Linked DNA regions of Macaca fascicularis. The protein of the gene in region 1 interacts with the protein of each later gene in a pairwise test. Links are inferred from orthologs where the notes say so. Each region holds a gene or a part of one and is shown in the gene's direction. Other genes may lie near its edges.

Region 1 (7,294 bases):
GGTCTCACTTGGTTGCCCAGGCTGGAGTGCGGTGGTATAGTCACAGCTCCCTGCAGCCTCAAACGCCTGGGCTCAAGTGATCCTCCCACCTCCGCCTCCTGGGTAACTAAGACTACAGCTGCATGCCACCGTGCCCAGCTAAGTTTTTTTTTTCTGTAGAGACAGGTCCTCACTATTGTCCAGGTTGGTCTCAAATTCCTGGCCTCAAGTGATCCTCCTGTCTTGGCCTCCCGAAGTGCTGGGATTAGAGGCGTGAGCCACCATGCCCGGCCAGGTGCAGGGGTCTTTCTTGTGTTTTTTGCAGGAAGGAATAGGTGAGACAGGGCAAGCAGGCTTAGAATTGGCTGTTTTGAAGAATTTCGGTGGGGGGTGGGGGTGGCTCAGAAGCGTTGTCCTCAGTCGGCTGGTACCTGGCCCTGCAGCAGTGAGGACAGGTGCAGAGTGGCCCAGGGTGTGAGAGCCCCGTGGAGAGGGTGGTTTGCACACAGAAGGCATGCTCAAGCCGTTTACCATCTCTAGGAATTAGCTAACCCTGGGAGGGGCAGTCCCTCAGGATCAGGAATGCTCCAAGATGTCAAAGCATCAGAAATACAGAAAATAAGAAGGCGTGGTTAACACAGCTGTCTCCTCAAGACGGGAAAAGGCCGAACAAAAGCAGCAACTTGTTTTCACCATGGTCACCATTCCCAGAGGCCTCTTTCCCCTTTTCCTGAATAATAATGTCAGCTAACACTGATCGAGCATGCGCTGGCTCCTGGTCACTGATGCTGTTCCCAGTTCTCTCCATGTCTCAGTCCAGGTGACGCTCGCAGCCACTGCGGTGTGGGCATTGACAGGTCTTCATGTTACAGATGAGGCAGCGCAGCTGAGAAATGGGAGAGCCAGGATTCAAGCAAAAACGCTTGTTCCAGGGCTCACATTCTTTTAAAAAAATTGTGATAAAACATACATGACATAAAATTTACCATTTTTACCAGCCTTTTTTTTAAAAAAAAAAAAAAAAAAACAGGGTCTCACTCTGTCACCAAGGCTGGAGTGTAGTGGTTGCTCACTGCAACCTCTGCCTCCCAGGTTCAAGTGATTCTCCTGCCTCAGCCTCCTGAGTAGCTGGGATTACAGGCGTGAGCCACCGCGCCTGGCCCATGCCTGGCTAATTTTTGTATTTTTAGTAGAGACAGAGTTTCTCCACGTTGGCCAGGCTGGTCTCGACCTCCTGATCTCAGGTGATCTGCCTGCCTCAGCCTCCCACAGTTGCTGGAATTACAGGCGTGAGCCACCGTGCCTGGCCTGCTGCTTCCTGTCTTTTAAAGGACTTCCTCTGAGAAGGCTTCTCCAGCTTCCCCAGGCAGAATTTTTCTCACCTTCTCCTCGTTGTGTGTCTGCCTTGCCTTTTTGGTACTTCCACTACTCCCTTTAGCTCGCTGAGTTGCAATGAAGTGTGTGCATACTACCTTTTCTAAAGACCGAGAGTTTTTCAAAGCAGAGGCTGTGCCTGACTCATAAACAACAACAAAACACCTTATTATCCCTGGTGGTCTAGTGGTTAGGAAAATAAAATCTAAAAAAGAAGAAAAAAAAACCCTTATTAAACCAATAATAATGAGAGAAAATTAAGGGTGGTGAACAATTGCAGGGAAAAAGACTTTTATTTTAATTGAGGTGAAATTCATGTAATATAAAGTTAACCAGTTTAAGTATACAACTCAAGTGGTATTTATACATTCAAAATGTTGTACAACCACTACTATTTGGCTACTGTGAATGGTGCTGCTATGAACATTCACATACCGGTGTCTGTCTGAATACCTGTTTTCAGTTTATTTTGGGTATATCCCTACTATAGACTTTCTAGATTATATGGTAATTCGATGTGTAGCTTTTTGAAGATCCTCCAAACTCTGCCTGGCTCATCATCCCTCGTGCCTAATGCAGAAAATGGCACAAAAAAGGCTTCATTAAATATTTGCTGCCTGGAGGAAAGGATGGTTGAATGGAGGGGAGGCCTAGATGGATGAACGGATGGATGCATGGAAAGGAAGATGGAGGGAGGGAAAGGTAGATGAAGAGTCAGGAGGCTGGGTGGCTTCCCTGACTCTTAATTCTTTGGGTCTCTTCTACCCCAGGGTCCCCCCAGCTGCGCCTGGTGGCTGGGCCCAGCAAGTGCTCAGGTCGACTGGAGGTGTGGCATGACCAGCGCTGGGGGACCGTGTGTGACGATAGCTGGGACATGCGGGACTCAGTCGTGGTCTGCCGGGAGCTGGGCTGTGGTGGACCTCGGCAGCCAGACCCTGCTGCTGGCCGCTTTGGCTGGGGTGCGGGTCCCATCTGGCTAGATGATGTGGCCTGTGTGGGGACCGAGGCTTCGCTGTCCGACTGCCCTGCTGCTCCCTGGGGAAAGCACAACTGTGCCCACAATGAGGATGTTGGGGTCACCTGCACTGGTAAGGAGGCCCTAGCTATCTGTTGACTCCAGGAGGGCTTCCTGGAGGGGGAACAGTAACTAACATGGGCACTAACATTGAGCGCTTCCTAAGCCCCAGCCCTGTGCTGGGTGTTTTTGCACATATGACCACATTGAAATCACATAATAAGTCTAGGGTGGTATGTGTTATGCCCATTTTACTGATAAATAAGCTGAGGCACAGAGAGGTTAGGTAACTTGCTCAAGATCACACAGCAACAACTGACTGGTAGACCTGGGATTCCCACTCAGAGAAGCTGCTGCTTCCTTTTCCTTCCAGGAATCAAGGAAATCTCCCACTAAGAAGGAAGCTTTAGCTTTCCTAAGATGAAAGGAAGCAGGCAGGGCACTGGGAGATGGAGAGAAGCCAAAGCGAGAGCCAGTTAACATAAACTCAGGCAATGCCTGCTATTACATGGCAGAGGCTGAGCTAGGCGCAGGGTCCTCATGCTGGGCTCATGAATGGAATGAACATGGTCTTGGTCTTTGAATAGCTCACAGCTCATGGGGAGAAAGAACTACTCTAACAAATCATTGCAAACCTGTGTGACTCGTTATAGTTTGGGGTCACCAAGACCACTCTCAGAGTCGATAATTTGCTAGAAGATCTCATAGAACCAAAGAATCTGTTACACTCAGGGTTATCGTTTATCACAGTGAAAGGATACAGATTAAAATCAGCCAAGGGAAGAGGCGCCTGAGGCAGGGCTCAGGAGAGAGCAGGTGTGAGCTTCCAACTGTCCTGTCCCAGTGGAGCTGTGCAGACAGCACTTCATTACCCCAGCAACAAAGTGGGACAACACACATGAGGAACCGCCAACTAGGGAAGTTCCCCCGAGCCGTGGCGTCCAGAGTGTTCATGGGGGCTCGGCCACGTACATGTGGCTGATCATAAATCACACCGTTAGCACAGGTGATCCAGCATGGCCCAAGTCCCCCAGGGAAACAATCTCTTATCAGGCAAGGTGTTCCAAAGGCTTCGAAGCCATCTCCCAGGAGCCGGGGAAAGGGCTAAACCTTTCTTTGGGCAAGGTTAATCCTTTACTGCACACGTGTGCTAATCAGAAGGATGGAAGATGGAGAGTGGTGCCTCAAAGGATGGAGGTATCACCTCTGCTGGAAGCTATGGCTCTTCCCTCTGTCCCCCTCTTCCTGAGGGCCATGGGGGCACCACAGAAGGATTCTGAGTTCAGGAGTGGCCTGTCGGACCTGGGTACCCCTCTGGTGGTAAGAACTGACAGGAGGTAGGGAAACCCATCAGAAGGTCCAGGAAATGAGGCCCTGACTCAGAGCAGAAGCTGAGGAGATGGAGGGGGGGTCAGGTGTGAAGGGGTGAGGGAGTCAGTCATGTCCAGATTGTACATGCCAAGAAGGCAGGGGGCGGCGTCAGGTTTGGCTTACCACAGGCTCCCCAAGGGTCTAACATAGTGTGTGGCTCATAGGAGGTGCTTGATTTGTGACAATAAATGAATGAATGATGAATGAATGGGAACTGGGTAAGTCACTGGAGAGGAGGGGTCTGGGTAGATGATCTTATCATCATGGTGTTTCTGTCTTCTCTTCCTGCCCCACACACCTTCCAGGGCCCCCAGGCCTGGACTCCATCTCAGACCCCTTCAGCTGGAGCTGGATTCCTGGACTGGGGAGAGATCGGGATGCCTGGCTCCCGGGAGAGCTGGCCACCAAGCCCTCTGCAAGTGTGACTGCCAGTGTTCTGGAGAAAACAACCACGAAGGCCCCAGGGAAAATGCCTAAGAGTACTAAGAAGTGGGTGACAAAATATGCAAAGAGACCAACCACTCAACCTCCACTGACGCCAACCACAAAGCACTCCAGGGCCCAAAGCCCCCCAGACCTAACCTCACAGACCACTACAGCCCTGACCACTGAGGCTTCCCGAAGACCCACTGCTGAGTTTACCAGAAGGCCGACCACGGAGGACCCCCGGAGATGGACCTCTCACACCACTGCCACGCTGACCCCTCAGGCACCCCGAGAACGGACCACTAAGACCACGGCAATGCTGACCACTCAAGGCCCCCAAGAAATGACCTCTGAGGCCACTATCAAGAGAATCCCTCAGGCCTCCCTGGAGCCATCTGCTGAGATACCAGAAGGGTCTCCAGAGTCACCCAAAGACCCGGCCCCCTCTCCCAGTGCTAGCACCACCGGGGAATCAGGTGAGTGGCCATGAGGGGTGTGGGGAGAGAATGGGAGAGGCTGACCCTCCCTCCTAACCTCAGGGCCTTCCACGCAGGCCTGTTCCGGGTTCGTCTGGCCGATGGGCCCAACCGCTGTGCCGGCCGGCTGGAAGTGTGGCATGCCGGACGCTGGGGAACAGTGTGTGATGACAACTGGGACCTGCGGGACGCCACTGTGGCCTGCTGGGAACTGGGCTGTGGAAAGGTCCGGCCTCGAGTAGGCAAAACCCATTACGGCCCTGGGACTGGGCCCATCTGGCTGGATGACATGGGCTGCAAGGGAAGCGAGGCCTCACTGAGCGACTGCCCCTCGGGGGCATGGGGGAAGCACAACTGTGACCACGAGGAAGATGTGGGGCTCACCTGCACTGGTACCAGGGCATGGCGGCGGTGGAGGGGGTTACGGGGGGTGGTCAGGAGAATGGAGTCAAGGTGGGGCCAGGTGACCGCACCATGGTAGACTCTAAAGAACTGGGCTTGAGGGGTTGGGGTGGAGAGATCCCAGAGTTGCTCCAGAAGATTCCAAAAGGGGAGGGAGGAGCAGCAACAAGGACCTCTGAGAAAGAGGATGGGGTCAACCATTGCCCCAATTTCTCCAAAGGCTACACAGACTATGATGATTATCCCCCCTGGACCTGGGACCCCACCTCAACAGAGGACCTGGCCAAGGGGACCACCACGGCACGGGTACCCGGACACACTCTCCCCTGGGGCACCACCAGGCGCACGGGGATCTCCTCTCCAGCAACAAGGCGCCTGCCAGACACAGGTGAGGGGCGTGATTGGGGTGGCCATGGGGGGCCTCCATAAACCTCCATTTGCTTCCCTGCAGGGTTTCCAGAAAGACCCTTCTCAGTGAGCTCGCTGAGGTCTCAGGGCACCCCAGAAAGGTTTTCCTCAGCTCCTGAGACTCTAAACGCATTATCTCCTTGGGCTCAATGGTGACACTTCTCGAGAGCCGAGGACACCATCTAAGAGATCAGGCTAAGCTCAGCAATCCTGAGTCCATGGCCCTCCTGTAAACCACACGAGAGCCTGGGCCCCTCAGTCAAACCCACAACCAAGGGCCACTCTGTCATCACATAATCGTCCCCACCCCAGCTCCCCCAAAGCAAGCGAAACCTTACCCATTCTTGAAGCTCATGCTCTGGTCCAGGTCTGGTATGGCTCAGACAGAGGTGGGGACTCTTAGAGTGCTGCTTCTCTCCCTACCCTGGCCATCCCCTCCCTCCGGCCTGCAGAATCAGCCTCCAGGGACACAGCTCCGTCCCCCTCTGCTCTGTGGCCTCTGTCTTGCTGTTGCAACTCCTTCCACACCTGGGACCACATTTGGGACCTTGCCCTGCTTTGGCCCCCACATTGCTGCCACCACATTGTTCTGCATTTTTCTTTGCCTGTCTTCCTTGTATCCCCATCTCTCCGGGTCCCTCTGAATCCATCTCTGCTCCTGTTTCTCACTTGCTATTGGTCTCTTTTCTTTCATTATCCATTTCTCACCCTCGTCATCTCTATCTCTGTGTTGCCCAGGATGGAGTGCAGTGGTGTGATCTCGGCTCACTGCAGTCTTGACTGCCCGGGCCCAAGCGATCCTCCTGCCTCAGCCTCCTGAGAATTTGGGACTACAGATGCGCGCCACCACACCCGGCTCATTTTTATTTTTCGTAGAGACAGGCTCACTATGTTGCCCAGGCTGGTCTCAAACTCCTGAGCTCAGACAATCCTCCTGTCTCGCTCTTCCAAAGTGCTGGGCTTATAGGCGTGAACCACCATGCCTGGCCTCACTCCATTTTCCATGGTCAATTTCTCTATCTTTTCTTCTCTATGCCAGTTTCTTTTTTCCTTTCATTTTCAATTTCTCACGCTCATCTTTATGCCGTATTTTTTTTTCCATGGTCATTTCTCTTGCTCTATCACCATCTTTCTCATTTTTTTCTTTCGTTGTCAGTTTCATATTCCCGTCATTTCTTTTTCCCTATGTCTTTCTTTTTCAATTTCTCACCCTCATTACCTATTTCTCACTCCAGTTTTCGTGGTCAGTTTCTCTTTATTTTTTTCTGCCTTGTCCTTCTGTCTTTTTCTTTCATTATCAGTCTCACACTCTCATCATTTCTGTTTCTCGCCTAGTTTTTCCTGGTCAATTTATGTCTTTCCCCGTCAGCCTTTCTCTTTTCTTTCAGATCTCACCTTTACCACCTCTGTTTCTCCCTCCATTTTTCATGGTAAATTTCTCTTTTTTTGAGACAGGGTCTTGCTCTGTTGCCCAGGCTGAAGTGCAATGGTGTGATCTTAGCTCACTGCAGCCTTGAACTCCCAGGCTCAGGTGATCCTCCCACCTCAGTGTCCTGAATAGCTGGGATTACAGATGCACACCACCATGCCTGGCTAATTTTTTTTTTTTTTTTTGAGATGGAGTCTTGCTCTGTTGCTCAGGCTGGAGTGCAGTGGCGTGGTCTCAGGTGACTGCAACCTCCGCCTCCCGGGTTCAAGCGATTCTCCTGCCTCAGCCTCCTGAGTAGCTGGGATTACAGGCACGTGCCACCATGCCCAGCTAATTTTTTGTATTTTTAGTAGAGATGGGTTTCACCATGTTGGCCAGACTGGTCTCAAACTCCTGACCTCGTGATCTGCCCCC
Region 2 (8,025 bases), on another chromosome or scaffold:
CCAGCAGAGAGCAGGAAAGAAAGAGAGAGAGAGGGAGAGAGAGAGAGAGAGAAAATCAAGGAGAGAAGGAAAGATGGAGAAAGACAGAAAGTCAAAAAGATAGGAAGAGACAGAGACAAAGAAGGAGTCAAAGAGAGAAAGAGATAGAAAGTCAAAGAGAAAGAGAGAAACATAGTAAAGAAAAAACAGTATACCCTATTCCTTTAAAAGTCAGAGGAAATTTAAAACCTATAATTGATAATTGAAGGTCTTTTCTGTGACTCTATAACACTCCCACACCACCTGGTTGTCAGTGTAAACAAAGGCATAGCCTGAAAGCAGTGAGGCCACTGACAACCCATAGCCTTCCTATCCAAAATCCTTAACCTAGCAGGTTTCCTAACAGGGACCTAATATTAATTACCATACAAAGGTCCGACCAGAGCTAGGGGGAACTCCCTTCAGGATAGGACTGATAGATGGTTCCTCCCCAGTGATTAAGGAAGAAAGACATAATGAGTATTCAGTAAATGATAAGGAAACTCTTGAATAAGCAGAGTTAGGAAAATTGCCTAATAATTGGTCTGTTGAAATGTGCTTGAGCTGTCTGCACTCAGCCAAACCTTAAAGTACTCACAGAATCAGGAAGGAGCCATCTATACCAATTCTAAGTTAATATGGACTGAAGGGGTCTTATTAATGCAAAGAACAATTGAAATCCCAAACCTACAAGGTTTTCAACAAAAGTAAAGTTTGCTAAAAGTTAACAGTGTAACATGTATTATCCTACTACCACACACTCTCAAAGGATTTCTCAGACAGTTTGCAAGAAATAACAAAATCTATCCTTATTCTACAATCCCTAATAGACTCTTTGGCAGCAGTGACTCTCCAAAACTGCCAAGGCCTAGACCTCCTCACTGATGACAAAGGAGGACTTTGCACCTTCTTAGGGGAACAGTGTTGTTTTTACACTAACCAGTCAGGTATAGTATGAGATGCTACTTGGCGTTTACAGAAAAAGGCTTCTGAAATCAGACAATGCCTTTCAAATGCTTATATCAACCTCTGGAGTTGAGCGATATGGCTTCTCCCCTTTCTAGTTCCCATGACAGCCATCTTGCAATTACTCTCCTTCGGGCCCTGTATTTTTAACCTCCTTGTCAAAGTTGTTTCCTCTAAGATCAAGGCCATCAAGCTACAGATGGTCTTACAAATGGAACCCCAAATGAGCTCAACTAACAACTTCTACTGAGGACCCCTGGACCAACCCGCTGGCCCTTTGACTGGCCTAAAGAGTTCCCCTCTGGAGGACACTGCAACTGTAGGGCTCCTTCTTCACCCCTATCTAGCAGGAAGTAGCTATACCGGTCATCGCCCAATTCCCAACAGCAGTTGGGGTGTCCTGTTTAGAGGCGGGATTGAGAGGTGAAGCCAGCTGGACTTCCTGGGTTGAGTGGGGACTTGAAGAACTTGTCTGTCTAGCTAGAGAACTGTAAACGCACCAATCAGCGCTCTGTGTCTAGCTAGAGGATTGTAAATGCACCAATCAGCACTCTGTAAAAATGTGCCAATCAGTGCTCTGTGTCTAGCTAGAGGACTGTAAATGCACCAATCAGCACTCTGCAAAAATGCACCAATCAGTGCTCTGTGTCTAGCTAGAGGATTGTAAATGCATCAATCAGCACTCTGTAAAAATGCACCAATCAGCACTCTGTGCCTAGCTAAAGGACTGTAAATGCACCAATCAGCACTCTGTAAAATGGACCAATCAGCAGGATGTAGGGGGGGGACACAAATAAGGGAATAAAAGCTGGCCACCCCCCCAGCGAGCAGAGGCAACCTGGGTCCCCTTCCATGCTGTGGAAGCTTTGTTCTTTCACTCTTCACAATAAATCTTGCTGCTGCTCATTCTTTGGGTCTATGCCCCCTCTAAGAGCTGTAACACTCACTGCGAAGGTCCGAGGCTTCATTCTTGAAGTTAGCGAGACCAAGAACCCACTGGAAGGAACCAATTCCAGACACATGACCACCAAGAACTGTCTTCTCAAGGACCTGGGGGTTTGTCTCTTCAACTGCAAACATTCAAGGAGGTGCTTCTCATTCTCATTCCCAGTCCCTATGGCTACCTTGCTCTCTTACACCACTGCTTGTCATGAAAACAGAATAATTATGTGTCTCCTCTGGATAAGCATGGATTAACACACCCAGGTGGCCTAGTCGCAGGACCAACCACCTCTTCACACTCCTCAGTGCCTTTCCCTTAGCACACCACAGCCTCTAAAAAGTCTCCAATCTTTTGTTTCAGCAAAGTTGTGTTCAGTTCATGCTGGACCCACTTCCCTACTGCAATAGTTTTCATTAAATAAAATCTAATTTACAGCTTTAATGAGTGTCCCACTTAAAAATTTTTTTTTGACAGTAAGCACATGAAATCATTATTGAATTAATAAATTTAGGTTCTACATAGGTGTAAACAGCTGGGGAGAGTTTCATTATTTTGAGTGTTCTTTTGGGATCTCCTCTCCCAACCTCCAAGAAGCTGAAAGATTGCTTAAGTTATATTTTCTTTCAAAATCTCTAACTATGAAAGATGACAATTATGTCCAAGTTATCCACAGTACCTTCTGGATTGAACTAGTCATACTGTGGATATAGAAAGCTATCTAAAATGTCAGAGCTCTAATTTCAATGTCCTGGTTTCTTTTCTTTCTTTTTTTAACGAGACAGGGTCTCGCCTTGTTGCCTGGGCTGGAGCACAGTGAGTGGCAAGATCAGGGTTAATTTAGCCTCAAGCAATCTTCCCACATCAGCCTCCTGAGTAGCTGAGACTATAGGTGCCATGCCACCACGCCCGGCTAATTTTTGCATTTTTATTAGAGACTGGGTTTCGCCATGTTGGCCAGGCCGGTCTCAACCTCCTGGGCTCAAGCTGTCCTCCCGCTCTGCCTCACAAAGTGCTGGGATTGCAGGCCTGCGCCACGGCGTCCGGTTTGATTTCTCTTTTAAATATGTGTTTTTGGCCGGGCGCAGTGGCTCATGCCTGTAATCCCAGCACTTTGTGAGGCTGAGGCGGGCGGATCACAAGGTCAGGAGATTGAGACCATCCTGGCCAACACGGTGAAACCCCATCTTTACTAAAAATACAAAAAATTAGCCAGGCGTGGTGGCAGGCGCCTGTAGTCCCAGCTACCCGGGAGGATGAGGCAGGAGAATCACTTGAACCTGGGAGGCAGAGGTTGCAGTGACCCGAGATTGCGCCACTGCACTCCAGCCTGGGTGACAGAGCGAGCCTCCTCTCAAAACAAAAAACAAAACAAAACAACCAAAAAAAAAAAAAAAACAAAAAACAAACGAAAAACACAAAACAACAACAAAAATAAATCAAAGATTTTTTTTCTCCCTATGTATTAAACACTTAAAAACATTTTACCATTTCTATTTCTGGGTCAATGCCAAAGTTCAGTTCAGTCCAGAAAGACAAGTGGTTTTGGAAAGGGTGTTTGGTTCCGCCTTGCATGCGAATTCCCACACAACCCTCTTCCTCCTTTCCTCCTTCGGGCAGCGTCCAGCAGGATTCCGCTGTTCCTCCAAAATCTTTGTCAGGAGAGTCATCCTGACAGTACTTTTAGGAAGCCCATAGATATCAGCCACAACCTGTGACTTTCAGGGTCAATTGCGTGTCAATTCGCACGTCCATCCAGAACCTGCGGGGACCACGCCCCCACGCTCCCTCCCGGCCTTTGCCTCAGCCCCTCTCCGCCTCCAAGGGTGTCACGTGCCAGACTCGGGCGGGAAGACATTGCCGCCATGTTGATTTCTGGCGGCGCTGGCTGGGGGAAGGGAGAGGGTGGCTGACTAACTAGCTACCCGTAGTTCCGGCTCCTGTGCGCAAGTGCGGAAGTGCGCTGGCCGGGAGAGTGATCGGTTTCCGGTCAGTGGTGAGGTACTGAGTACCCGGAGACGTGTATCGGAAGGTGGGCCGCAGCCATGGCGGAGAGAAAACCTAACGGTGGCAGCGGCGGCGTCTCCACCTCCTCGTCGGGCACTAACTTACTTTTCTCCTCCTCGGCCACGGAGTTCAGCTTCAATGTGCCCTTCATTCCAGTCACCCAGGCCTCAGCTTCCCCGGCCTCCTTGCTCTTGCCCGGAGGTAATAAGGGGAGGGCGGTCCCGTGTGTGGTGGGAGGCGGGCGGGGGACGTGCTGTGACAAGGGTCAGACGGAAAATATTCCTTTTGCCTCCAGCTACCCTCTCGATAGCTTGCCAGGATCATTAGTGACCAGGTTTGAGTGGGTCGGGGGCTTTGGGATCTTGGAGGCGGCAGGTGATGCGACTTGCTCTTCATTGCAGAAACCCACTGTTCCGAGTTGTCCAGAGTGCTGGACATTCATTCGTACACTGGCATTCCACAAATCTTTGCTGAACACCCATTGTTGTTACGCCAGGTGCTGGCAGGGAATGCAAGTAAACAGTGGCCCTCTCCTAGGGTACAGTAGTCTATCTCCCACTAGGAGACTCCTAGGATACGGTAAGATACCTCCTAGGATGGACTGTGCCCCTCTCCTGGGATACGGTACACTGTCTCCTACTAGGAGATTGTTGTGATACAGTAGGATATCTTCTAGATTACAGTAAGATATCTTGTAAGATGGACTGTGCCCCTCTTCTAGGAGAAACATGTAATATTTGTGAAGTAGACATATAAAATGCATTCCTCATCTTTTTTTTTTTTTTTGAGTCGGAGTCTTGCTTTGTCGCCCAGGGTGGAATCCAGTGGCGCGATCTCGGCTCACTGCAACCTCCACATTTCGAGTTCAAGTGATTCTCCTGCCTCAGCCTCCCGAGTAGCTGGGACTACAGGCGTGCATGCCCTGCTAATTTTTGTATTTATAGTAGAGACGGGGTTTCACCATGTTGGCCAGGATGGTCTCAATCTCCGGACCTCAAGTGATCCGCCTGCCTCGGCCTCCCAAAGTGCTGGGATTACAGGTGTGAGCGCCTGGCCAATTTTCGTCTTTCAAGACAATCCATCACTTCTTCCAAGAAACTTTTTCTTGTTCTCTTAGGCCCCCACTCCTATGTGCACTCCTAGCTCTTTTTTTCATATTTGTATTATTGTCCAGGGAGATTGCTTTTTGATGATGATGTAGCATAGCCCAGAGCATGGTGTTCAGGAGCACAGACTGTATTCCAGTCCTTGCCCTGCCAGTAGCTTGCTGTGTAACTGTAGGCATTTTAGTTTACTTCTCTGTGCTTCAGTTTCTATATATGTATAGCCTCACATAATTATAATTAGAAATGCTTTAATTTTTGAAAAGCACCAAGTATACTGCCTGCCAGACAGTGTGATTTAATGTTTGTGAAATAAACACACCTGCTTCTCCATTTGGACTGCGGTCTTCTTCAGCAGCTATGACCTAATTGCCTTTTTATTTCCAGGATGTTGTTTAGGGCCTAGTAAGTAGATCCTCTTCGAATACTGAGTTTGCAGTGAGTAATTTATTCTTGTTTGAAGGACTAAAGACAGTTTCATGGAGAAGCGAGGACAGGCACGCTGGGAACAGCTGTACATAAAGGTTCCCCTGCCCATGTGTTAATGTTTCTTCTTGATGCTGGTCACTACCTGACATGTACACATACTTGTTTATTCCACTCCACTAGGATGTAAGACCATGAAAGCAAAAACTTAGTTTTATTCACGATTATATTCCCACTGCGTAGAATGATGTGTGGTATGTAGTAGACCAGTTATTCAGTGGATGTTTGTTGAATGAGTGAAAGGATGGGAGTCAAAATGATGTCTCAATTTGACCTGTGGTTGAAAGGTTAGGCGTTGCTGTCTTTGGTGAAGAACCAGCATTTTGGAGCAGAATGCTGTGAGAGGATGCAGGAATAAATAAGGCTTTACCTGGGGTTTTCTAATCATCCTCTGCACCATTCAAGTTGTTTGGTTATGTCCATCTTCCTTGCTGTGTAGTATTTGGTTTGTGTGTCACTGTGAATTCATGCTAAACATTTTCATTGTGAAGTCTAGTATAGCTATACCTGTCTTTAATGCTCTTGTTTCTTGGAGACAGTCTGTGTGTGTGTGTGAACATTAATAGTTTTTAGAACTAAAATTCATCTCTAAAAATCTCAGAAACCCATTCAGAGAATTTCCAGAGAAAAAGAAGAAACAGTCTCCTTGGAAGCAATAGTTAATCATATAAGTGAAAGAGACACAGGAAGCAATTTCATATATTCAACAGACATGGAAGGCCTGGCACAGTGGCTCACGCCTGTAATCCCAGCACTTTGGGAGGCTGAGGTGGGTGGATCACCTGAGGTCAGGAGTTCAAGACCAGCCTGGTCAACATGGCAAAACCCCATCTCAACTAAAAATACAAAAATTAATTGGATGTGGTGGTGGGCGCCTATAATCCCAGCTACTCGGGAGGCTGAGGCATGAGAATCGCTTGAGGTGGATGTTGCAGTGAGCTGAGGTCATGCCGCTGCACTCCACCCTGAGCGACAGAGTAAGACTCCATCTCAAAAACAAAACAAAAACAAAAACCAGACATGGATTGAGCAGTTTCTATTTGCCAGGCACTGTTCCAGAAGCTGGGAGACACAGAAGAGCAGACAGCCCTGCCCTCAGTGACTGCACAGTATATATGTATACACACACTCACCTGTGTAAGCAACTGTGATACTGGTTTAGAACAGTTAGAAAGAGGGATTGATAGATGGCTGTGAATGCTGTGGGTCTCAGGCTGGCTGAGCTGGGGAATGGATGTCCCTTAGGCCTTCAGGTCCTCTTAGGGGAGGTGATGCTTGAGCTGAGTGTTGAAGGATACATAGAAGTGAGGGAATCTGGAGAGACAGGAATATGGGAAGTCTGAAGGTGTGAGAAAATCTGCAGGTTTGGCAGGAGTTAGTGGTTGGTGGAATGGGACAGGGATGGAGCTCATCCCTCTCTCCTGTCTCTTCACCTTTATCTCCTCTCCCGTGTATCCTCTGCCCCCAGTAGATCACTTTGACTAGAGTGTGGACAATGGAGTGGCCTCGGTGGTCTATGGGTCACATATACCATACTCAGGAGGAGTTTGTAGTTCATCTTGTTGGGTTTTGGGAGCCTTTGAAGGATTTTCAACAAGGCAGTGAAATTAGACGTGTGTTTCAGAAAGACTGGAGTTTTCTCTAGTTGCACTGGAATAAGGTTGACTGTAGCAAGAGGATTCGGCTGGGAGGCATAGTGAGAGGCTGGCAGTGGCGATGGCAGTCTAGCCCGAGTCAGCCACATTGGGTGTGAGGAGCAGGGAGCAGATGTGTGAGATGTGTAGACTACACACTTGTAGAGACTCACGGAAGACCAGAGCGTCAGCTCTGTCTGTCAGCACAGAGGCCCATTTTTGTTTAGTTTTAGACCCAAGACTGAGCTCTGTACCTGGCACATAATGCATCCTGAGTAAATATTTCTTGAATAAATATTTGAATGATTAAATGAAGGGTATGAGAGAGAGGGAGGAGTCTGAGAGACTTGAGGTTTCTGGTTTGAATGTCTGAATGGATGTTGGCAAACATCGGTGGATATAGTGAAATACAGAAAAGGGAGCACGGAGGTGGGTAGTTAAGATAATAAACTCTGTTTGGGGCTTACTAAGCATGAGGTATATGTGGCTGAATCTGCCAAAAACATTGAGGAAGTAGTTGGAAAACAAGTTCTGGAACACATGACAACGGTCTGGGTTTGCGATAGAGTTGGGAGTGTCACCAATATACAAGTGCCTATTAAAGTTGTGGCTTTAGATGACATGTGTCCAAATGAAATGAGAAAGTGCCCCTGAGGTGAGGGCAGCAGTATGTGGAGAGCATTTCATTTGTAGTTGATGCTGATCGGAAAAAAGTTTCTTGGATCAGGTTGACCTCAAGTTTTTTTAAAGGATGAAAGATACCACTGAGGTTTTCTTTTTTTTTTTCTTGCTTGCTTTTAATTGTTGGGAATGAATTAAGAAATACAGGTAAGTCCAAGTGAGGGTCACTGACCTGAAAAGAGGGGTGGGA
Region 3 (6,848 bases), about 5.6 Mb from region 1:
GCTCGTAATACTTTGCATTTGTGGGAAACTTCCCAAGTTCTAGTATTTGTGGCTTTTTTTTGTTTTTTGCCTCAAACTCCTGGGCTTAAGCAATCCTCCCGCCTTGGCCTCCGAAAGTGCTGGGATTACAGGCGTGAGCCATCATGCCTGGCCTGTCACTGTTAACCTGGACAGACCCTGTGGTCTTGGTGCAGGCTTTGCTAACTGGGAACAGACCCTGTGGTTCTGGTGTGAATTTAACACTTTGCTCAAATTGTGATGCTGTCCTCTCTGTCTGAGTCCCAGTTCGGGACTCGGGCTCTTGGCCTGGACCTTCTCCCAGTCTTCTCTAAGCCACCTGGCCTCCAGCCTCTACCCCTGCAGTTCATCCCCCACACCCATAAAGTCCCCTGTGGCTCCCTCAACATCATGCCCGAACCGTTAGCATGGTATGTATGGCTCTGCCGAATTCTCCCGCCCATCACGTGGCCCTGAGTCCCCAAGACCACCCTCCGGCTCAGTGATGGACTAAGACTCACAGAGCTCGGCAAAGCTTCTACTCACAGTCACGGTCACGGCTCAGTGATGGACTAAGACTCACAGAGCTCGGCAAAGCTTCTACTCACAGTCACGGTCACGGCTCAGTGATGGACTAAGACTCACAGAGCTCGGCAAAGCTTCTACTCACAGTCACGGTCACGGCTCAGTGATGGACTAAGACTCACAGAGCTCGGCAAAGCTTTCTACTCACAGTCACGGTCACGGTTTATTATGGAGAAATGAAACAGACCGAAAACAGCAAAGGGGAGAGATGCAGAAGCTCCGAGAGAGACCAGGCACGAGCTTCCAGCTCTCCTCTCCAGGTAGAGAGTTCCGTGGACAGCGCTCAGTTCTCCCAGCAACAGTGTGCGGTAACACTTACGGAGTGTTGGCGGCCCGGGTTGTGGGGAGGAGCAGTTCTGTAGGCATGGAGCACTTGTGTGGCTAAACTGAGGTCTGCTTTCTCCAGCCCCTCCAGAGGTTGTGCTGATACCGTATGACCCAAAGCCCCCACTGTAGGTCACAGCGTTAACATGGACTCCCTAGAGTGGCCCGAGGCTCCAGGTAAACAAAGACGCTCTTACCTGGCAGGACATTTCAAGAACATAGAGATTCTCCCAGAGCTGGTCAAGGGCCATTTTCTCTCTTTGGAATGTACAGATTTGAACAGCTCATGCTTGGCAAATCAGTCCTTCACACATAAACATCTCCCTTCCAAAGCACCAAATCACTTAGCACCCAGAGGCATGTCTGCTGTTTCAGCCTCCCTGTCTTCCCGTAGGCCTTTCCTCCTGCCTGGACAGCTCCTCTCCCCTCCCGATCCTTTCCCTGGCTGATGCTACATCTGCAACACTCAGCTCCTCCCTGGAACCTGCTCCCACAGCATGTAACCCAGCCCTGATCCCTGATTATAGAGCTGACATTTGACTCTGGCTGCCTCGAGGGCAGGGGCCATGGCTTAGCTAACCACTCTGGGCTTCACTTTCTCATTTGTAAAATGGATCTGCCCCGGCCGGGCGCGGTGGCTCAAGCCTGTAATCCCAGCACTTTGGGAGGCCGAGACGGGCGGATCACGACGCCAGGAGATCGAGACCATCCTGGCTAACACGGTGAAACCCCGTCTCTACTAAAAAAATACAAAAAACTAGCCGGGCGAAGTGGCGGGCGCCTGTAGTCCCAGCTACTTGGGAGGCTGAGGCAGGAGAATGGTGTGAACCCGGGAGGCGGAGCTTGCAGTGAGCTGAGATCCGGCCACTGCACTCCAGCCTGGGCGACAGAGCATGACTCCGTCTCAAAAAAAAAAAAAAAAAAAAAAAAAAAGGATCTGCCCCAAAGTTTGCTTTTAGGAAAGGGTGAGTAATGATATATCTAACTTTTTTTTTTTTTTTTTCAGATGGGGTCTTACTATTTTGCCCAGGCTGGAGTGCAGTGGCACAATCACTGCAGCCTCCACCTCCCTGGGCTCCAGTGATCCTCCCATCTCAGCCAACTCATTTTTGTATTTTTTTGTAGAGACAGGATCTCGCTATATTGGCCAGGCTGTTCTTGAGTTCCTGAGCTCAAGCAATCCTCCCACCTCAGCCTCCCAAAGTGCTGGGATTACAGGCGTCAGCCACTGCACCTGGCCATATTACATCTAAACTGCATGGATCAGAGCTGGATTTGTATGGGTTCACCATTGTGACTAGATCCCTGGCACCTGAAGTATTAGAAACCAACGAGGCACTTAATAAATGGTGAACTGTTGGCTGGGCGTGGTGGCTTACGCCTATAATCCCAGCACTTTGGGGGGCTGAGGCAGGTGGATCACCTGAGGCTGGGAGTTTGAGACCAGCCTGACCAACATGCAGAAACCCCGTCTCTATTAAAAATACAAAATTAGCTAGGTGTGGTGGCATGTGCCTGTAATCCCAGCTACTCAGAGGCTGAGGCAGGAGAATTGCTTGAACCCAGGAAGCGGAGGTTGCAGTGAGCCAAGATCGTGCCATTCCACTCCAGCCTGGGCAACGGAGCGAGACTCCCATCTCAAAAAAAAAAAGGTGAACCGTTAAGCCAGACAAGTCCCCACAGAAGATTGTTTTCCTTGTAGTTTTTTCATAGTTGTAAAGAGCTTTTTATAAATGCTCTTCTTGGAAATTTTAGCTATAACTTATTAATAGCAAAAGCTTTTTTAAGCTGAGTTTTTGAGAACTGAGATGTGTAGGTGTAGCTGCTCCAATGCCTTTAGCTGCCAGTAACAACACACCGACTTGAGGTGGCTCAGCAGTGAGGACTTTTGTTCTGTCCCACAACGGGAGGAATGGATGCAGGCCGGGCTGGGCCCCAACAGTCCTGGGGGCTCAGGCACTTGCTGTGGCCTGTTGAAGAAGCCTTTCTCAGAATCCCCCAGGAGAGCTTTATGAAAATGCCAGGGCCAGCATCCTAGCCCTGGAGAGACTGGCTTCATGGAGCTGGCAGCCTTCGGTGTTTTAAATGCTCCAGTCAGTGCTGATGGGCGCCCATTGAGATCTGCTGGCTGGGACAAGGCAGAGCGCATGCAGCTGGCCCTGGGGTCATCTCCCCAGACTTGCTTGGCTGTGTGGAGGAGGAGGAGCAGATGAAACAAAAATTAGGGGCCTGTGGAAGGCAGAAGGGTGCAGTGGAAGGGGTGGGGGTAGTGAGGTAGGTTTCCTCTTCCTCAAGCTAGAAGGGGATTTCCTGAGGACAGACACCAAGCAATTTAAAAACTGGCCTGGAGAGAGGGAAGAGGAAACAGACGTCGTGGGTGTTTCTCTGGGCCAGGCACTTGGCTTCTCAGTCATGACTTTGTTCGTTCTGTTTGTTTGTTTGTTTTTTAGACAGGGCCTCCCTCTTTCCATTTCCGGCTTTTAGAGCTGCTTCTGCCTTCCCTGGCTCCTGGCTTTCTCCCGTCTTCAGGTTCCAAAGCGCATCACTCCAGTCTGCTCTTGCCACCACAAGCTTTCTTCCCTCTCCAGTCAGTCAAACCGATCTTCTAAGGATGCTTCTGATCATCTGGAGGGCTCTCACCTATAGTCCTAGCACTTTGGGAGGACAAAGAGGGAGGATCGCTTGAGCCCAGGAGTTCAAGACCAGGGCAACAGAGTGAAATCCCGTTCCTACAAAAAATAAAAAAGATTAGCCGGGCATGGTGGCATGTACCTGTAGTCCCAGCTACTTTGGGAGGCTGAGGTGGAAGGATCGCTTGGGCCCCGGAGCTTGAGGCTGCAGTGAGTTGTGATATGTCACTGCATTCCAGCTGGTATGACAGAGCAAAACCCTTTCCCAAAAGAAAAAAAACACCCCTATCCAGCACTTCCTCTCACCCTTTCCTCACCATCCCGCTGATAGATGGCACCACTTGGAGATTTTTCGGTTAGACGTTACCAACATCAAGTCAGTTTGGACTGAAGGGAAATGTTTGGCCCATGGGGCTTCTCGGGGGCTCTTTATCTGTTCCCCACCCCATCCATCTCTGGTGGGGCTCATGGTCTCCGGTGATGTCCCAGTGTCTGCAGGTGGTTGAGAAGGTGTCCAAGGGTGGCCCAGGTGCAATCCCCTGCACCACACTTAGAGGCGAAGGAGGCAGCTGCCTTCTGAGCATGGAGAAAATCCCAGGGGAGGCTCTGATTGCCTGGCTCGGGTCTCAGTTTATCCTCGAGCCAGTCACTGTGGCCAGGGGCATCTGTGCTCTGAGCACATGGGTTTCAGACCCTCCCCTGAGTTAGGAGGGGCACGTCCTCTCCTGCTCTTAGAGAGTACAGGTGTGGGCCTGGGGGACCTTCAGCAGCCCGTATCCTGCCATCCAGCCTGGGTTCCCTGCCCCATCTCTCTCTCTCACGTCCAGAGAGGCCCTCAGGGTGGCAAGAGCTGATCCGCTCACACCCCGCTAGAGTCAGCCAGGGAACCTTACTGGGTCCCACGCTGGGAGCAGGTCCTACAGCTGTTCTTCTGTGTCCTAGTCCCGCTTGTGGCAGTGCCTCAAATCTGATCTCCTCGGGCTGAAGTGGGTCCAAGGTCCTGTTCTCCCGCCTCATCCTCCAGAGTGGGAACTTTCCACTGTGCTGAATGTGGCCATGCACGTCCCTAGCACCCCGACTCCTCGTACCTGACCCCTGGAGCGTGCATTTGTGCTTCTGGATCCTTCTCGATGTAGCAGAGTCTGGTTTAGGTTACACAGGACGAAGGGGGGTTGCTGCATGGTATCATAATCCCATCCCACCACCCTCCAAACCAGCCGTGCCCAGTCATGCCACTGGGCTTGCCTTTCCAAAACTGCCATCTGACAGTGTCACTTCCTTTGCTTTAGAAATATTCCCGAGGTCGCAGACGCCAGCGGATTTGCTTTGGGAGCCAGAGTAGCTGCCGCCACCAGAGTCCGGAGCCATGAGCGGGTTTAATTTTGGAGGCACTGGGGCCCCTACAGGTGGGTTCACATTTGGCACTGCAAAGACAGCGACAACCACACCTGCCACAGGGTTTTCTTTCTCCACCTCTGGCACTGGAGGGTTTAATTTTGGGGCTCCCTCCCAACCAACCACAAGTACCCCTTCCACCGGCCTGTTCTCACTCGCCACTCAGACTCCGGCCACACAGACAACAGGCTTCACTTTTGGAACAGCAACTCTTGCCTCGGGGGGAACTGGATTTTCTTTAGGGATCGGTGCTTCAAAGCTCAACTTGAGCAACACAGCTGCCACCCCAGCCATGGCAAACCCCAGTGGCTTTGGGCTGGGCAGCAGCAACCTCACTAATGCCATATCGAGCACTGTCACCTCCAGCCAGGGCACAGCACCCACTGGCTTTGTGTTTGGCCCCTCCACCACCTCTGTGGCTCCAGCCACCACATCTGGAGGCTTCTCATTCACTGGTGGAAGCATGGCCCAGCCCTCCGGTTTCAACATTGGCTCAGCGGGGAATTCAGCCCAGCCCACCGCACCTGCCACTCTGCCCTTTACTCCGGCCACGCCAGCAGCCACCACAGCAGGCGTCACGCAGCCAGCTGCTCCCACAGCCACAGCCACCACCACCGGTACTGGGCCCACCCTCTTTGCATCAATAGCAACCGCTCCAACCTCGTCTGCCACCACCGGACTCTCCCTCTGTACCCCTGCGACCACCGCGGGAGCCCCCGCTGCCGGGACACAGGGCTTCAGCTTAAAGGCACCTGGAGCAGCTTCGGGCGCCTCCACAGCAACATCCACCACTGCCACCGCCGCGGCCACCAGCAGCAGCAGCAGCACCACCGGCTTTGCCTTGAATTTAAAACCACTGGCGCCAGCTGGGATCCCCAGCAATACGGCAGCCGCTGTGACTGCTCCACCTGGCCCTGGTGCAGCTGCAGGGGCGGCCGCCAGCTCCGCCATGACCTACGCGCAGCTGGAGAGCCTGATCAACAAATGGAGCCTGGAGCTAGAGGACCAGGAGCGGCACTTCCTCCAGCAGGCCACCCAGGTCAACGCCTGGGACCGCACGCTGATCGAGAACGGGGAGAAGATCACCAGCCTGCACCGCGAGGTGGAGAAGGTGAAGCTGGACCAGAAGAGGCTGGACCAGGAGCTCGACTTCATCCTGTCCCAGCAGAAGGAGCTGGAAGACCTGCTGAGCCCGCTGGAGGAGTTGGTAAAGGAGCAGAGCGGAACCATCTACCTGCAGCACGCGGATGAGGAGCGCGAGAAAACCTACAAGCTGGCCGAGAACATCGACGCGCAGCTCAAGCGCATGGCTCAGGACCTCAAGGACATCATCGAGCACCTGAATACGTCCGGGGCCCCCGCCGACACCAGCGACCCGCTGCAGCAGATCTGCAAGATCCTCAACGCGCACATGGGCTCGCTGCAGTGGATCGACCAGAACTCGGCCCTGCTGCAGAGGAAGGTGGAGGAGGTGACCAAGGTGTGCGAGGGCCGGCGCAAGGAGCAGGAGCGCAGCTTCCGCATCACCTTCGACTGAGCGACAGCAGGGCCCTGGGAGTTCCATGCGGGGAACGCGCCCTGTTGTCTAGTTTGGGGTTGTGGCAAGATACATGTTTCTTTCTTTCACGTGACTGCCTTTGAGACAATTGCTGTGTGCTTTGCCTTTTTCCATGTAGGAAGTATTCTGAGCCCTCTGCCCAGGCAGCAGCCTCATGGGTGTGGCTTCTGTGGCTTTTATTTGAGTGTCTTTGGCCCCTTTCCAGCCACTGCGACCGCCCACCTCATCCTGGCTCGACCTGGTGATGGAGACGCAGTGGTGGTCTTGGTCCCAGCCAGGGTCGCGGGGACAGCTGCTCTCTCCAAAGCGTAGTCATAGGTGTCATGAAAAAATACCAAATGTAAGAGAACCTCCAAAGC
Region 4 (7,294 bases), on another chromosome or scaffold:
AATCTGGATATTAACTTTGTTTTTTTATTAAAAAAAAAAAAAGTATGATTTAAACTTACAACTAGGGCTGGGCGCAGTGGCTCGTGCCTGTAATCCCAGCACTTTGGGAGGCCGAGGCCAGTGGATCATTTGAGGTCAGGAGTTCAAGACCAGCGTGGCCAACATGGTGAAACCCCATTTCTACTAAAAATACAAAAAATTAGCTGGGTGTGGTGGCGGGCACCTGTAATAATCCCATCTACTTGGGAGGCTGAGGCAGGAGAATCGCTTAAACCTGGGAGGCAGAGGTCACAGTGAGCCAAGATCGTGCCATTGCATTCTAGCCTGGGCGACAAAAATGTAACTCGGTCTCAAAAAAAATAAAAAAACTAGGGCTGGGCATGGTGGCTCATGCCTATAATCCCAGCACTTTGGGAGGCCGAGGCTGGTGAATCATTTGAGATCAGGAGTTCAAGACCAGCCTTGCCAACATGGTGAAACCCCATCTCTACTAAAAATATAAAAATTAGCTGGGCGGAAGTGGCGCGTGCCTGTAATCCCAGCCACTCAAGGCTGAGGCAAGAGAATTGGTTGAGCCTGGGAGGCAGAGGTTGCAGTGAGCCATCACACCACTGCACTCCAGCCTGGGCGACAGAGTAAGACCTTACCTTAAAAAAAAAAAATTACAACTAATTATCAGTTCTATCGGAGGGTGTTTTTCTCTTTTAAGATTGCCTGGCCGGGCGTGGTGACTCATGCCTGTCATCCCAGCACTCTGGGAGGCTGAAGTGGGCAGATTACTTGAGCCCAGGAGGTCGAGCCTGCAGTGAGCTGACATCGTGCCACTGCACTGCAGCCTGGACAACAGAGCAAGACCCTGTCTCAAAAAAAAAAAAAAAAATACTTTGCCTGATTTGGGACAAGATATGGGTGGCTTGCGACCCAGAGCAGACAGCAGATGCTAAGAAGGGTTGACAGGTAGACATGGTGGGTCTGCAAGGCAGAGGCAGGGCCTGGCAGCCATACCTCTATCGCTCTGTATCTCCTCAGATTTCATGAACGTCTACTACCAGATACGCTCCAGCCAGCTGGACCGCTCCATCAAGGGCCTGAAGGAGCATTTCCATAAGAGCAGTTCTTCCTCTGGGGTTCCCTACTCCCCTGCTATCCCCAACAAGAGGAAAGACACACCTACCAAGAAGCCAGTCAAGCGGCCAGGTGAGCCCCTATGCTGGCCCATCTCTGCAACAGCCAGAGGCTGACTGGAGCTGCACTGCTTTCATCCAATCTAGCGTTCGCAGCGTCAGACCCCTCTAGAGCTTGTCGTTATGGTAACCCTGACTGTAGGTACACAGGACAGAAAGCAAGTGTCTACCCAGCCAGTGAGGCCCCCGCAGAGCAAGACCCTTCTACCCAGCAGAGCCTGGGGGTGACACAGCTTCTTTGGAGTGAGGGAGTAACACAGGTGCTCAGTTAATCCTGCCTGAGGCAGGCGGCAGAGGCTTCTAGGGCCGAGCCCCTGCCTAGGCCTCGTGCCTCACACACACATCACCCTGTCAGGAGACCAGGCACACTGCTGCATCCAGGACGCTGGGATAGCGAGGGGATAGGTGCTCCAACCTTCACCTTCCAGAAAGGCAAGGTGACCTGAAGTGATGTGTAGCTGAGAGCTGGATGGGGAGAATTTCACTTTCCCAGTCGATCCAAAAAGGAAAGAAACCCCAGAGCATCTTCTCAGAAGAACTTAAACTGGCTTTGGGCTCCAGTGCGAGTCAGTGCCTTGTGGAAAGAGGCACCGTGATGAGAGGCCTGGGCCGGTGGGTGTCGCTGTGCTGGGTGAACATCTCGTCATCTGTCTGTTCTTTCTCCCTGGCATCATGTCCCTAGTAGTCTGTGCTCCAGGTAAACAGTGTCTCTGCCAGCCACAGCTTGGCAAGCCCGGCTGTCTCTGGCCACTGACAGATGCCCGCAACTCGATGACATGCTGGGATGTTCTGGGGTGGGGCTGCTGAGATTGCTCTGGAAGAGAAAGCTGGAGAAGCCAGGGCTGCTCCCACCCAGGCTGGCCCCCTGTCCAACTGCTGCTGCAGGCACATGCCCTAGGTGTGGCCTGTGGGACCTGCTTATGACAACAGGCTTTAGGTAGAGCTTACTTACACCCTTGGTTTCTCCAGTCCCTACCTGCCCATGCCTCTCAGAGACCGAGGTGTCTGTTCCACAAGAGCACCCGCTCCTCTCCAGGCCTTTGTTTAGGGTTTAGAGAAACAGGCAGAGTAGGGGCTGCCCTCAGGGAGTAGAGCATTAGGGAGCTGGTGCCTGGGGCCTTCTCCCTCCAGTGTGGATGTCCTGCCCACCCAGCCAAAACCTGCAAATGGGGACTGCCAGCCCAGCCTGTGGGCGCAGCTGCCTGCACAGCGGATGGAGCAGCTCTGTACCTTCTGTGTGGTGGGGAGTGGCTGTCTCTGTGAGGCTTCGAGGATGCTTTAGCCCCAGCCACTCTGTGCTCACTTCCTCTTCTACCTGGTTCCCTGACAGGCCCCCTGGAAGCCCCAGAGCCCTATTTGCACTGCCCTAAGAGTGCCCGCTGGCCATGCAGCCCCCTGGCCTTTCAGGCAGGAGGGATCTGATCTCAGGTAGCTCACAGTGGACCACATCCGTCCTTGGCCCAGGGACACAAGAGGAAAGCTCTCCGGCTGTGGGGTTTCCGAGCTGTCAGGCACTGGTGGGCTCAGGACCGATGTCAAGCTCTAGGGAGTCAGGCTCCGTTGACGTCGGTTCCCACTTCTGAGGAGAGGGGCAGGGAGGCCTCCCAGGTGGTGAAGCACTGACCTCAGCATCCCTGGAGGTAATTGGGCGCCTGACGGGTTTGGCGGCTGCCAGATCTGCATCCCTGACCCACGTCCTGCCGGCGTGCACCTGCGTCCGCAGCTGCTCCGGCTGCTCCTGGTGGGTCGTGGGGCGGGAATCCAATTCACTCATTAGTGAGCCTCGCTCGCTGAAGGGGAGAACACGAGCAAGGCAGATGTGAGCCAGGCCGCGGAACTTGGTTATTAGGAGCTAATTATGGGCCGAGTATGGTGGCTCACGCCTGTAATCCCAACACTTCGGGAGGCCGAGGCGGGCGGATCACCTGAGGTCAGGAGTTCAAGACCAGCCTGGCCAACACGGTGAAACCCCGTCTCCACTAAAAATAGAAAAAAAATTAGCTGGGTATGGTTGCACATGCCTATAATCGCAACTACTCAGGAGGCTGAGGCAGGAGAATTGCTTGAAACCAGGAGGCGGAGGTTGCAGTGAGCCGAGATTGTGCCATTGCACTCCAGCCTGGGCGACCCAGCAAGACTCTGTCTCAAAAAAAAAAAAAAACAAAAACAAAAACAAAAAAGCTAATTGTGATGTCATGCGGTGCGGCGCAGTGCAGTGCAGGTGTAAGCAATGAGCCTCCAGACACTGCCCTTTCTGCCTCAGCTTTCTGGGGAGCTGCCAGGACACAGCAGCCTCACTGTGCTCAGATAGACAGTAGGAGGGTGGAGGGCATCCCGGGTGCCTTCTTGCCCCCATACATTTTGTTAACAAGGCAGCTGCACTTGTCTACTTGAGATGCGGGTTTATTTCCCCACGTTTTCTGGCCCAAGATGTCTCATTCCCATAAAGGAGGCGGACTCAGGTGGCTGTGGGCGCTACCATTTTGTTCTCATTGTTTCCACTTGTGATACTAACTGTTGTTTTTTTCCCCATGCCAAGAGCATGTGCCCTCTCCTTCTGCGCACACCCTCCAGGCTCTCTGTGTGGTGACTTCTGTTAACCCCTTCTTGACTTTTGGATTTTTTCTTGTCCCTTTGGTTGTTTGGGGAACTCTAACGTGTGGGGCTAGGCTGCCTCTGGGTCTCTGAGCCGTCCGCCTTGGGCACCGCGCTCCCCGGAAGTTCAGTCAGGGTGGCTTCCTGCTGGCTGCTGTTTGGCGTACGTCCCAACACTGAACGTGCTCGGAGAGCTCTGCCTGGAGTTTGGGGCTGGGCTGGGGGCCTGCTGGCTTCAGGGTACCCCCAAGCTCTGCCACCCTGGTTGTGCCCTCTCGGTGTGCAAGCTTTGTCACTGGCTCCTCCAACCTGAGCCCTCGCCTGTTCTGACTACAATGCCACTCGTATTTTTGACTTCTCCTGGTGGATCTTGTTCCATCTTCATTATCCTCTGTCCTTTCAGAAATGAACTGAAATCCAGAACAAGGAGGGTCAGTAGTAGAATCAAGGCTCCATTTGGAGAAGGAAATGATTCTTTTCCTTCGCCTTTGTCCCCAGGGTCTCTGGTGGTCCCAGGGAAGGGCCTGCTCACTGTGGGGGGCTGGGTGTGGGGCCTGGGGGCAGGTGGAGGGCCGCTGCTGTTTTCTCTCACTCATTTCCTAGGTCTTCTTATCTCCTCTCTGTGTGGCTCTGGTGACAGGGACGATCCGTAAGGCTCAGAACCTTCTGAAACAGTATTCCCAGCATGGTCTAGATGGGAAAAAGGGGGGCTCTAACCTCATTCCTCTGGAAGGTAATCACCCTGTGTTCCCCTCCTGTCCCTTCCTCCTCCACTGTGTGTCCACGCACTTGGCAGGGCAGAGCCTCCCCCAGGAGGGCCTCGGGAGAAACCCTGAGGGGAGCAGGGTGGGAACGGCAGGTCCCCAATGCCACTTGGGCTTCAGCAGGCGCAGGGACAGTTTCGCGGCCCTCGGCCTGGTCCTCTCTGGCTGATGGCAGCTCTGCCCTCCCTGGGGCTCCCTCCTCCCTCCCCTGTCTCTGTCCTTGTCTCCTGTGTGAACTCAGAGAAAGCTCTTTGTCTGGGGCAGCCTTTCACGCTCAGACCTGCAGTGGCAGCCCCAGCTGGCCGAGGCCTCCCCTCTTCAGAAAGGGGAGTGTGTGCAGCAGGCGACAGGCAAACTGGGGCTTTGCGCAAATACGGCAAGGTGGGGAACCCCCCTGGGGTCAAGCATCAGCTCTTCAGCCCCTCCTTGGTCCTTCTCCGCTTTCCCTGGGCCTCCAGACTTGGGGAAATGAGCAGCTAAGGACGGTCCTGGGTGCTCACTGAAGTCAGGCTTGAAATGGCTGTTCCCAAGGTGGCTTGAGGTAGAGGAGGGGCTCAGAGCCCTCTCTGATGCCCCCTTCCCCATCCCCATCTGACATCCCCCTCCTGGAGATGAAGGGCTTCTCCCTATACCCCAAGGGGCGGCCTGCCGGGCCCCTGGATAAACACTGCTTGTGTTTATGCGGCCAACATCTCGCCAGGTCACGAGCATGATTTCCGAGTTAAGCACCTGTCCGAGGCCTTGAACGACAAGCACGGGCCACTGGCCGGTGAGTACTGCAGCCCAGCCCGAGGGCAGCTGCTGACACTGCCTTCGCAGCGGTCCCCGGATGGCCTGCTCCTGTCTGGCCCAGCCAGGCCCAGTCTGCTCTGAGGATGGGCCAGGCCTATGCGCCTCTCTCTCCACTCTCTTTTGGGCCTAGGTCTCCTTGCCTCTCTCCAGATGGGAGTGCGTGCCTGGCTCTCAGGCCTGGGCCAAGGGGAGAAGCCGCTGCTACTCAGAAAGCAGGCAGAGAGGGAAGGTGGCTCCCTTGAGGGCAGGGAGCCCTGACGTCCGCCTCCTGCAACAACTCAGAGCTCTGATCCCCTCGGAGCCCATCCCTTGGCACATAGGACCAGGCAGTTCTGCCACTGGTTTTGTCCACAGGCGCCCCCGCTGTGGCCTCCAGTAATAGGATCTGGCCTCCTCCTGGGGCAGCTGGCAACCCCTCCTCTCTGGGACTTACCAGCCTCTTCTCAGATTTTGACCCTATGCCAGCCAGCCTCAGAGGCTGCAGCCTACCGCCCTCTTAGATGTTCCAGAAGCCCTGGCTGGGCTGGTCACTTCCTTCGCAGGCCCCACATTTGCCCACATGGATGACCCCAGTGCCAGCCTCCTTGAGGTGGCACAGCCACCTGCCCACCCTGGGCTGCCCTCTTTCAGGTACAACTCAGAATCCTCAGTCCTGGGGTCAAACTACCTTATCCAGGATGTTGATTCAGTGATCTTCCCTCCTTATCCTTCCGTCCATCACCCTCCTGCCTCTGGTGTCTGATCCCACTGTCTGCGCAGAGCTGAGAATGAAGCCAGAACAAAGGCTGGGCTCAGCTCCTATTGTTCCCCTCGAACCTGGCGGGGCCTGCTGGTGCCCTTGCAGCTTTCTGCCAGAACAGTCAGCCTCTTCCCCATCCGCTGCCGGTCTGGGGTGCAGTCCAGGAGCTGGGGGACCCACACCTCCCCAGCCAGAAGTGTGGCTGGCCCCAGACCAGCAACTCAAGAGTTGTGTCTTCCCCAGGGAGAGATGACATGCTGGACGTGGAGACCGATGCCTACATTCACTGCGTCAGTGCCTTCGTCAAGCTGGCGCAGAGCGAGTACCAGCTGCTGGCAGACATCATCCCCGAGCACCACCAGAAGAAGACCTTCGACTCCCTGATACAGGTCCCGTGCCGCCCTGGGGCTCTGCAGCCAGCCCCAGCGAGAGCTGTCACCACAGACTCTTGCAGCCCTCAACTCCAGCCACCACCACCGCCTTGTGCCCTGTGGGCTGGTCCTGGGTGGACGCTCACCACCTCCCCATCGCCCCACTTCCTGCACACTGGCCCCCTACACCCTACAAGGATCCCCCACCAGCCCGGAGCCAGGTCCCACCACCCCACCCTTCCCTGAACTGTCTCCCTGTCCCCTCAGGATGCCCTGGATGGGCTGATGCTTGAAGGGGAGAACATTGTGTCCGCTGCCCGGAAGGCCATTGTGCGACACGACTTCTCCACGGTGCTCACCGTCTTCCCCATCCTGCGGCACCTCAAGCAGACCAAGCCTGAGTTTGACCAGGTGCTCCAGGTATGTGGACGAGGGGCCCTCGAAAACAGCCAGTAGGCATCCTGCTGCCTGGTGTGGCCGCCCTCATCCCTCCCTGGGAGATCCGCATTCTCCGTCCCACACCTCTGCTCTGAGGATGCATGGAGACAGCTTAGGAAGGGCCCTGGGCGAATGAGCTGCTCACTGAGTGACTGGAGGAGAGCTTGGAACTCCCTTGTGCTTCCTCAGGGCACGGCCGCCAGCACCAAGAATAAGCTGCCTGGCCTCATCACCTCCATGGAGACCATTGGTGCCAAAGCGCTGGAGGACTTCGCGGACAACATCAAGGTCCCTGCCGTCCTCCCCTTTCTCCCTCCCTCCCATCCCAGCACCCACAGTGACCTGGCCCTGGGGGACTCTCAGAGAGCAGGCCTCCAAGAGGGTGCGTTGTCCCAGGGGAAGCCAACTGCG

The links.
Region 2: the proteins of SSC5D (region 1) and SEC23IP interact in binary tests that used the Homo sapiens proteins (3 or more experiments, as listed by UniProt). The two-hybrid records come from large-scale screens. The link is inferred for Macaca fascicularis from reciprocal best matches to the Homo sapiens genes SSC5D and SEC23IP.
Region 3: the proteins of SSC5D (region 1) and NUP62 interact in binary tests that used the Homo sapiens proteins (3 or more experiments, as listed by UniProt). The two-hybrid records come from large-scale screens. The link is inferred for Macaca fascicularis from reciprocal best matches to the Homo sapiens genes SSC5D and NUP62.
Region 4: the proteins of SSC5D (region 1) and EXOC7 interact in binary tests that used the Homo sapiens proteins (3 or more experiments, as listed by UniProt). The two-hybrid records come from large-scale screens. The link is inferred for Macaca fascicularis from reciprocal best matches to the Homo sapiens genes SSC5D and EXOC7.

Annotation. Positions count from the first base shown.
Region 1 is NC_088393.1:63,445,063-63,452,356, forward strand, and holds part of SSC5D (soluble scavenger receptor cysteine-rich domain-containing protein SSC5D), read left to right. Parts: intron 1-2,123; coding exon 2,124-2,441; intron 2,442-4,044; coding exon 4,045-4,641; intron 4,642-4,718; coding exon 4,719-5,033; intron 5,034-5,263; coding exon 5,264-5,431; intron 5,432-7,294.
Region 2 is NC_088383.1:128,908,757-128,916,781, forward strand, and holds the start of SEC23IP (SEC23-interacting protein), read left to right. Parts: upstream 1-3,889; 5' UTR 3,890-3,969; coding exon 3,970-4,132; intron 4,133-8,025. UniProt on the Homo sapiens protein: Plays a role in the organization of endoplasmic reticulum exit sites. Specifically binds to phosphatidylinositol 3-phosphate (PI(3)P), phosphatidylinositol 4-phosphate (PI(4)P) and phosphatidylinositol 5-phosphate (PI(5)P).
Region 3 is NC_088393.1:57,891,759-57,898,606, reverse strand, and holds part of NUP62 (nuclear pore glycoprotein p62), read left to right. Parts: intron 1-4,825; 5' UTR 4,826-4,902; coding exon 4,903-6,468; 3' UTR 6,469-6,848. UniProt on the Homo sapiens protein: Essential component of the nuclear pore complex. The N-terminal is probably involved in nucleocytoplasmic transport.
Region 4 is NC_088390.1:82,519,802-82,527,095, reverse strand, and holds part of EXOC7 (exocyst complex component 7), read left to right. Parts: intron 1-1,029; coding exon 1,030-1,197; intron 1,198-4,419; coding exon 4,420-4,512; intron 4,513-5,243; coding exon 5,244-5,312; intron 5,313-6,317; coding exon 6,318-6,463; intron 6,464-6,712; coding exon 6,713-6,865; intron 6,866-7,072; coding exon 7,073-7,171; intron 7,172-7,294. UniProt on the Homo sapiens protein: Component of the exocyst complex involved in the docking of exocytic vesicles with fusion sites on the plasma membrane.